Linked DNA regions of Arabidopsis thaliana. The protein of the gene in region 2 purifies or fractionates together with the protein of the main gene of each other region. This does not show direct contact. Each region holds a gene or a part of one and is shown on either strand. Other genes may lie near its edges.

Evidence for each region.
Region 1: the proteins of SSE1 (region 2) and APEM9 purify together in Arabidopsis thaliana (affinity purification with western blotting; one study listed by BioGRID). This does not show direct contact.

The regions. Positions count from the first base shown.
Region 1 is NC_003074.8:3,302,692-3,307,314, forward strand, and holds APEM9 (3-phosphoinositide-dependent protein kinase-1), read left to right. Parts: upstream 1-1,533; 5' UTR 1,534-1,654; coding exon 1,655-1,698; intron 1,699-2,024; coding exon 2,025-2,201; exon of another isoform or gene 2,202-2,346; coding exon of another isoform or gene 2,347-2,363; coding exon 2,364-2,441; intron 2,442-2,734; coding exon 2,735-3,008; intron 3,009-3,095; coding exon 3,096-3,403; intron 3,404-3,494; coding exon 3,495-3,615; 3' UTR 3,616-3,813; downstream 3,814-4,623. Other genes in the region: CYP77A6 (cytochrome P450, family 77, subfamily A, polypeptide 6), read left to right, coding at 1-1,006; AT3G10580 (Homeodomain-like superfamily protein), read right to left, coding at 4,392-4,623. UniProt on the Arabidopsis thaliana protein: Involved in peroxisome biogenesis and matrix protein import. Required for pollen maturation and in vivo germination via its role in peroxisomal function, which partially involves jasmonic acid biosynthesis.
Region 2 is NC_003071.7:18,822,521-18,827,753, forward strand, and holds SSE1 (shrunken seed protein (SSE1)), read right to left. Parts: upstream 3,244-5,233; 5' UTR 3,082-3,243; coding exon 3,013-3,081; intron 2,709-3,012; coding exon 2,651-2,708; intron 2,361-2,650; coding exon 2,141-2,360; intron 2,057-2,140; coding exon 1,492-2,056; intron 1,418-1,491; coding exon 1,350-1,417; intron 1,169-1,349; coding exon 1,107-1,168; intron 1,007-1,106; coding exon 945-1,006; 3' UTR 647-944; downstream 1-646. Other genes in the region: AT2G45695 (Ubiquitin related modifier 1), read left to right, coding at 3,523-3,545, 3,763-3,844, 3,928-4,010, 4,107-4,224; AT2G45700 (sterile alpha motif (SAM) domain-containing protein), read right to left, coding at 4,696-4,840, 4,920-5,023, 5,135-5,233. UniProt on the Arabidopsis thaliana protein: Involved in the formation of peroxisomes, lipid bodies and protein bodies.

The DNA.
Region 1 (4,623 bases), on a different chromosome or scaffold from region 2:
AGACAACGACGGTCTTGTTTGGGTCCTAAGAAACGCAAGATTCGCTGCGTTTTGTATTCTTTTGGAGATGTGTTTTGGAATCGAAATGGATGAAGAATCGATATTGAATATGGATCAAGTGATGAAGAAAGTGTTGATCACACTCAATCCAAGACTCGATGATTATCTCCCGATTCTTGCTCCGTTTTATTCCAAGGAGAGAGCAAGAGCTCTCGAGGTTCGTTGTGAACAAGTTGATTTCATCGTTAAACTCATCGAGAGACGACGGAGAGCGATTCAGAAGCCGGGGACTGATAAAACGGCGTCGTCTTTTTCTTATCTTGATACACTCTTTGACCTTAAAACCGAAGGTCGTATAACGACGCCGTCTAATGAAGAGCTTGTGTCGCTCTGCTCTGAGTTTCTTAACGGTGGTACGGATACGACGGGGACGGCGATCGAGTGGGGTATAGCGCAACTGATTGTGAATCCTGAGATTCAATCTCGGCTCTACGATGAGATTAAATCAACGGTTGGAGATCGTGAGGTTGAGGAAAAAGATGTGGATAAAATGGTCTTTTTACAAGCCGTTGTTAAGGAGATTTTACGGAAACATCCTCCGACATACTTTACGTTGACTCATTCCGTCACGGAGCCGACGACGGTCGCCGGTTACGATGTTCCCGTTGGGATTAACGTTGAGTTTTATCTTCCGGGAATAAATGAGGATCCAAAGCTTTGGTCTGATCCGAAGAAATTTAACCCGGATCGGTTTATTTCGGGTAAGGAGGAAGCGGACATAACCGGTGTAACCGGAGTTAAAATGATGCCGTTCGGTATTGGCCGTCGGATCTGTCCGGGGCTAGCGATGGCGACCGTACACGTGCATTTGATGCTAGCGAAGATGGTTCAAGAGTTTGAGTGGAGCGCTTATCCGCCGGAAAGTGAAATTGATTTCGCCGGGAAATTGGAGTTTACGGTGGTAATGAAGAAACCGTTGAGAGCCATGGTTAAGCCAAGGGTCTAAATTTGTTTAATTATGAAAACGATGTGTGCTTATATATTAAAGAAGGAACCTATACTCTTGAAATTTGTCAAGTGCTTTGTGAATTTCTAGTAAAAGATTTCATTTATTGTCAAAACACATCAATAAATGATTTTGCTTTTTTTTTTTTTTTTCAATGTAAAACTGAGCTACCTTGAGATTGTGCTTAACACTAATAATTTCGTACATACACCGAAAGTAGGGCCAAGTAGCTATAAAGAGAAGAGACATGTCGATGTCAAAAATGAAAAAGACATGAATGTGATGCTGGACTTTCATTGAGCCGCAAAAGTTAGCTCAGATTTTAACTTGTTAACTAATCTTGTTGCATGTTCATGAATCATTGAATGTTTGAAATAACAGTTCACGCAATGTATCACTGTTCTACTTCACTTTTAATGCGAAACTAATGGCCCATTAACAACCAGAATAATGCTAATCATCATTTTTGGGCTTAGCTTGCTTTGATTAGATTTGTGAAGGAGAAGCCCATTATATTGGCCCAATAGCAAATACCCAATTAATTCCTCTCCCTCGCTTCTTCCTCGTTCTTCATTCGAGCAGAATCAATCTCATCGCTCTGTTGTGTCTAATTGAAGCTTTGGATAAGCTTCTTCCAATACCTCTACAATGGAGGCAACTGATATTTGGGGAGAAATTGAACGTTCTGAGAGGTATTCCTGAGAATTTGCTTAAATTTTAATTTTTCATGCTTGCGAATTTTGGTTCCGTACTTGGCCATGTGTATAAGGAGAAGTCAAAATTTTCTCAGAATTAGTTATCACGATAATTATCTATCCGGCTTTGATTCAGTCATGTATAGAGTTTGTAGAAAAACGATTCATCACAGACTTGACAAGAAACAAGTTCAAATGAAATTGCTTATGATGATGTCCACTCAAATTTATCTCATACTTGTAAAAATTATCTGTTTTCAAGTTGAGAAATTGGCTCAGTACCAATTTCATTACTCATTTTTTTTTTTGTTGGATGTGTATAGTTACCTAGTGTGCTCTATGTATGAAGAGGCAGAGTCATTATCTTCCTCTATACTGAAAAGAATATTTGGCAACATTGATGTTTTATCCGACGAAGCTTCTCAAGGTGATCATCAATTTCATGATATGTTGGAATCTGCTGGTATGGTCTTAGTTCAATCCTTGCATGGAATCGGCAGGTATATTTCATTTACTGTATTCAGATGTTATAACATGAGTAGTTCTTTTGCCTCTTACTTCTGTTTGGAATTGGATGCTCTAAAGAAACTTTAGAGTCTTGGACGCTTGTTGTAGTTTTGGCTATGTGATAGTTTTTGCCAACAAATGCCTTTTTCATGCAGGACAGTTGAGATTGTAAATGAGTTAAGAGATGTGTTTGGAGAAGTTGCAGCTATTCCTGTTCAAGTTCTTCTTACTGGGTATTGTTCTTGTTCTAAATCTTTCAAAGTATTACAGCTTAAGATGCTTTAAAAGGAGAATATTTGGTTCTTTTTGCAGTTTATTTTTCAAAACTAGGAGTAAAATACATTCATTTTATTTGCTAACTTTTTCTTCTTAAGGGGAGTACAATAACATTCATTTTATTTGCAAACTTTTTCTTCTTAAGGGGAGTACAATACTGCTCTCTGGATGCATTAGCATAGACAAAAGTCACAGAACAAGATTGTTGAAATCTAGTTTATTGATCTTCTTCCCTTTTTTTCCCTTTTAGAGTATGCCTTCAAATATCAAATGGTTCCTATTTGGGTGTACGTGATATTCTGGAAGAGTTCTTTAGAATATGGGTTTACAAGGACAACCACTATATCCTAAATGATGCTGGAGTAAGTACAAAAGGATTCCATGCGAAAAACTGTTTAGATATTGATGAGTACATGGAAGTCGTTGAGCTGTATACTTTTGGAGTTCTTGCAAAATTTTCAAATGACATGGGCCTAGCCATTTCATGGGTTGAAAAAGCTGCATTGCCTGAGGAAAGGCGACAGGTACTAACTATTGAATATTTTCGTGAGTTGTGTATGAAATTGTGAATTTGTTCTAACTATGATGCTACACTAAACTGTCTATTTCAGGGGATTTTGAGAAGATTGCATTCCTTACTTTCTCTCAAAACAGCTAGTTCTTTTGAGGAAAATTCCAAAGATTCTTCTTATGCTGTAGTGAATAACAAGAAGTCGTTGGGTAATGAAAAGAATGATGAGATTGATTCTTTCCTGAAACTATCTAAACAGCATGAACCTTGGTCACTTTGGTCATCCCATCCTCTAAGCCTCAAGGTTGGTAATACCCAATTTAGCATGTCCAGGGGAAAGGTTGCCGTAAGCCTTGTTGGATTAATCATATGTTATGCTTTGAAGAGAAAACGAGCTGCTTTGATAAGGTAAGAATTCTTATAAGCTTGTTTCTATGCTTGAATGATCAGAAGTTGTGTGATGAAAAAATACATTGTGAAACTTGTTTACTTGTTTCAGGATCATTCGCAGGCAAATGGAGTCCACGAGAAAAGCAATAGTAGATTTCTGGAAGCTTGCGTTTTCATACCAAGTGAATCCTCTTGCAGCAATTCAATCCATACCAAGCACCACAACATGAAGATGGATCAAAATTTGGCATTGAAAATGCCTATGTAATACCAAACCAACACTCAAATATTTTCATAATTGGTTCTATTCAAAGTTCAAACTTAGTTTTCCCAAACTTCTCCACTTATATCAAACTGTAATCACTGAACATGATTAAGAACCCGTTGCATATTATGTTTTATCTATATTTCTCCTTGCCTTTTTAATATGGGATAAATCCTCGTATGTTTGGATTTCGAAGAAGCAAGGGATTACAGTTTCAGATTCAAAGCTTACACTTCAAGGGAATTCATCTTCTAATGGTGAAACTATTTACAGAAGCAAAAGCTTCGCCTTTAAGGCTCCTCAGGAGAATTTCACTTACCATGATTTCGAGCTCGGCAAGATCTATGGCGTTGGCTCTTATTCAAAGGATTCATTTTTTCGATTTTTTTTCCTGTAAAAATCACACCTTTTTCTGCAATTTGGTTTGATTCATGAATCAATTCATATCCTGGAGATTTTACGTATGTGTAATTGAATCAGGTTGTTAGGGCGAAGAAGAAGGATAATGGAACTGTGTATGCCTTAAAGATCATGGACAAAAAGTTTATCACCAAAGAGAATAAAACCGCTTATGTCAAATTGGAGAGGATTGTTCTTGATCAACTCGAACATCCCGAGATTGTGAAACTGTTCTTTACTTTTCAAGACACGCAATCACTATGTAGGTAGTTTCTATTCAACTAAAGTCTAGACTAGAACAAAAACTCTAAAACCCTAAACCAGAAAATCTCATCAAAAAGCTTAAGCCTTGTATAGTTGTTGAAAGCTTGCTAAACTCCCATCATCTTCACCATCATCATCGAAAAACCCGAAGTTTTCCTGCAAGTAGCGGCCATATTGATCCGGAGAAATTTGGTCATTAAAATGTGGCTGCTGGCCAATAGAATTCAAGTTGGATCCAGTGACGGTTACATTGTCCCGGGAGTAGGGGTGATATTCACCCGGAGGAATTTGGTCACCAAAACGTGGTTGC
Region 2 (5,233 bases):
TACATATACGCATACTTATGTACTTGTGTACTTGTACAATCCGGATATTAAACATACAAACCGAACTAGAAATCAGATCAAAGTAATCGAAATGATTGTAAGTTCGACGGTAACTAGATGTAACCGATTCAAACTTATTTTGATTCGTTGGTACTTGTTTCGGGTTTGAACCACTAGCTATGCTACTTGTACATACGACCGACCAGAAAGAGGGACCGTAAGCACCAGAAAAGAAAGGCTACAAAACGAAAATGTGAATGTGGGCCTGAGCTGGACCCTACTCTCTTCAGTTCCACACATTGTTGAGGGCTAGGCCCAACTATTCGACCCCACCATTCCCTACCCACTCAAAAATCAAAATATTGGCGATAACGTGGCCTTGAGATTAACAAACAAACGGATCCGGGATTAGAATTAAACACCAAATTATAAACCGGTCAAACCGGTAGTAACCTTTTAGGCTTAAAAGTTAAACCAAGTGGGTTCCACCTTTTCCGATTACAGATTCGGGTCCACCACAGAGGGATAATGTTGTAATTTTCGCAGCCACCAACTTTTGCCTACCATCAGCATACCATTCATTACGCCAGCATCAATAATTTGGGCTGATTGGTAAATTTGAGGTTTTGGATTCCGATGTTTTTACTTTTCACTAACCACACAATTTCACATAAATAAGTGTAGTATTTCTTACAAACCATTTAATCTTTAATGATGCTTGTTTTATTCGTATCGGTCCATTTCTTTAGACATAGAGAAGCTTATCTCTTCAGATACATCTGTCTATGGTTATGTTCTCTACCTGTTGCAATAAACACAATTTCTAACAAAAGCCTGAAACCATTCCCTAAGAAATCTGTAGGAGCCTTTGATGATCTGAAAAAGCATTCCAACAATGGCAATATTCTTCCGTTGCATATAAACCATAAGTAAAACGCTTAACCTCACGATCCCGATATGTAAGTGTACCGTGACTGAGCTCCCTCCAAAAGCTCCACAATTTTCTCTGCAATTTCCATGAGAGAACCAAAATAAGGTCAGTAGATGGCAAGTAGACAAGACAATCAGTGATCTCGTGAATGAAATGAAAGCTTTAAAAAGTAAACCTGTGAGGAATCCGATCAATGGAATTAGTTCCAGCTTCTTTTGAGAGCTTTCCAGCTTCTGCCTGCAATTGCAAGACAAGCATATTTGATTTATTAGTAACCCGCGATAGCTTAAGCTTTAAGCCTAAAACCCAGGGATACCAAATCTAATATTAACATAAGAGCCAAGAGGAAATGAACCACTTCGGTTTCAATTTTTCCCATTTCAGAAAATGCCATAATTGAAACCATAAGAACACTCACCTTGTGTACTTGGTGAAGAATGGATCTCTCATGAGGTACAATGCCCATATCAGTTTTCGTCTCCTCAGCTGAAGAAGTAACAAGAATATGAGTTAAATCGGTTCAACATTACTGTTGTATTGAGGTCCAAGAGATTTCTAACCTCATCCTTTTCAGGTCCTGAGAAATGGACTTGCTTGCTCTTCTCTCCCCACCACTTCGAATTTGCAAGAAGACCCATCCCCAGTGTGTCCACAGAAAGCGATATAGCCCAAGGAATCCAAGATCGGACTCCATATTTTCTGATGAAAAGAACGTAAATGAGCGGTCTCGTTATGTAAAGAACCTCACCAATCGCAAACAACGCTCCATTAACACCCTTCTCAGTAAGTAGCTCGGACATCGTTCTTCGCCTCTCCTTGATCATTGGAGGCTCTATAACTGCTTGCTGATGTTGAATTCTTCGAGACCAACCGGGGGTAGAAGATGTTGTTGTTCTTGCATTCTGACCAAATGAACTTAAAGCAGACATCGCCCGTCCTTCCAAGTTCCATGGATTATGATGATTTTGGTTTCCAAGACCATGAGGCCCGAGATTTCTACCCGAATTACCAGCTCTATTTTGCGACTCGGATTGGTTAGAATCTTTCTCCTCATTAGGTGTTTCCCCTCCTTGAAGAAGCATCTTATACCCACTATTCCGGAACAAGGCTAACCTAATGACAGCCCTGAAAATTCAAAGTTTTCAAGATATCAAAATGCCAACTAAGTAGGTTGTGTAGATCCAAGTGATCAGAAGAAAGCAAGCTTACTTCATAGCTTCAGTGAGAATAATGTAGTTCCATTTTTTGTCTCCATAGAAGTGTTCAGCTGCCACTTCCACAACAGTTTCCAAATCCTTGAGGATGGCGATGAGTAGTGGATAAGAAAGGGATGGATCATTCCCGGAAGATCCAACATGGCCACGAGGTGTTGGAGCATTTTCAATTATGTGTTCATTTATCGTTGAGAATATGCCCAAAAAAGCCGTTACTACAAAGAAGATTACCAAAAAACTTCAATCACACTTCCATGAACACAAAACTGACAAAAGAAGAAAGAAAGAAACATTCTTTGGAACTTGAAGGTTCTAATGTTAAAGACTTAGGACACGAAACATGTGAGGAGGTACAAGTGAAGTATGTAATTTGAGAAGAACCGATAAAACTGAGTATAGGACAGTGTTCATTATTCAGACAAGAGACTTTAGGAGCTAACAGGGATAAAGGAAACAGTTATTCTAAGATTGAAAGCAGTAAAATGTTACCAAAGTATCACAAAACCTGCTTCTGGTCCAATCTCTGAAGCAGAAAACTTCTCAGGAAGCAGCCATGTCAATCCCTGCAACAAAACAAACATATTTGACGAACTATCAGCTGATGAATTCCACAACTACGAATTAAAAGATCGAACTGATTCAACTCTTAAATTTTTTCAAAGGGTTTTCATTCTTAAACCCAATAAATAAAAGCTTCGATTTTAAAACACAACCCTTCAAGCAAAAAATATTCAAACAAGCAGACGATGAAAAACTTAGAAATTGACACTAACGACGAGACGAAAACAAACCCAAATCGACAGAGAATCAGAACATAATCAAACTGGAAAATAAATTAAGGAGAAGAGTAATAAAAATGAATCTTACGTTGGCAAAGGATCCAAAGGATTGTACATACTCTCTATTTCTCCAAACCCATTGCTTATAAGCTTCCATTGAGCTTCAGATAGAGAGAAACAAAACTGAACTTTGCTATTTCTCAGAAGAAATTGGGAAACAACAAAATTCCATTCACGTTAAATCAATCTCTGATTTTCTTTCTCTTCCTGGTTGCAATTTTGCCGGTCGCTGGAAAAATATCAGGCACCATCTATTTTCTATTTTCAGTGACAAACTAGGAATCAATATCGTCCGTTGATACGTTACAGTTCCTGTAATCAACGGTTACGATGCGATAAGTAATTTTTTAACATAAGATGATGATTCATCGGGAAAAGTAATAGGCCTTATCTTGTAGTATATTTTTAGGCCCAATTAAATAGCCCAACATGTCTTCAACCTGAACGATGTCGTTTTACAGTGAACAACAACACCACACGAACGAACCCTAGAAGAGCTGGGTTTTGAATTTGGTTCCTCCTGCAAACATCAACGACGATGCAATTAACTCTTGAATTCGGGTACGATTATCACTTAATCTTTTCGTAATCGGAGTTTTGTTATTCGTAGCGTTTTTAGTTTTTACCTCACTAAAGTTCTGATTTTGACTTGGTGTCTTTTGAGATTATTTTCCTGATTGATTGTATGTAATACTGAAATTTAAGAACTTGAACCATGTGTGTGTTTTAGTTGTTGTTCAATGATTGAGAAGAGTGAAACTTGACATGTGATGTGTAGGGGTGGGTTAGAGCTGCTCTGTGATTCTGAAAAGATTCATAAAGTAAACGTTGATTTGCCCAATGGAGCTGACTCTGATGATGTAAGCTTGAGTTCTTATGTTTTTGGATCATAAAGCTCGCAATTTTTCTCTCACTCATTCCACTTTTCTGATTCCTGGATTAGTTTACCATGAAGCATTTGCTTTCATGGGTTCGTACAAATCTGATCAAAGAGAGACCTGAGATGTTCATGAAAGGAGATACTGTGTAAGACTATTTTTCTTCTTTATCAGCTCATTGTAGGTTAAGATTTCATTAAGACTTCTTTATTAAGCTCAATGAAGGTTAATAACTGTTGTGCAGGAGACCTGGGGTTCTTGTGCTGGTGAATGACTGTGATTGGGAGCTAAGTGGTCAGCTCGATACAGTAATCGAAGATAAAGATGTTGTAGTTTTCATTTCCACTTTGCATGGTGGATAAAAAGATCTGATTGTCTAGGATTTTGTAACAAATTTTGATACTTGTTGTTTGTAATCTCTACGACTACCCAAACTTTATGTATTTGTTTACTGGAAGATTGATATTAGAGTATTTATCAATTTTAAGTGTCCTTTCTAACAGATACTTTATGCGAATCTGCATATCTGTTTTCTATATTCCTCATTGAATTGCAGCAAACTCAACAATTCCATGAGCTTGGTCTCTTATTACGGATTTAGTCTGCAACTTGCATTTCTTCAGTGGAAATAAGTAAAGACCAAAGTAGTTGATATAACAAATGCATTCGGAGTTTGTGATGAAAAACACTACATAATCATGTGGTTACATAACTACAATTAGATAGAACATAACATATCCATTTTCGTTGTAGATCTTTGACGTCTCTGCTCAATTGGTAGTCAAGGAGGCTGCCTTTTTGTTGCAAAGCTTATCGCAGATGTAAACACAGTTCTACGTAACCAACAAAGACACCATTGCAGCTGCAGAGTCAGGTCCATCATTGTTTACACTCGGTATGATGACTTCAGGTGACACTTTTTGCACAAACTCTTTTAGCTCCGTGAAGCTGCTATGCTCACTGTAAGGAACCTCGTACCTGAAATATATATAAAGATTCTCCGCCTCATGATTTTGAGCCCAATGCCACAGGACATGAAGATAGGCAAAAAGTTTACCTTATTATTGTACCCTGTTGCAACCTTCTTCCTGGGGACTTCTTTTTAGTCTTACCAGATGTCCAACCAGTAGGAGAAAATGCAACGATAAGGCTGTAACGGTTCTGCAGGACAGAAAACAGTATTAGAACTCAACCTCTAACGAAATCAGCCAATAAGATTATCACTTCTTTTGTTTTTCTTTGACAGTCAAACCGAATGGATGTGTTTCTTACTGTGTATCGGTTAGCTACATGCTTCAGCCGTTTGAAACTGGCAAGCGTCCACAAAGGCACAACGTGAATGTGGCTTTCCTCTTCCTTCACTGTAAACCA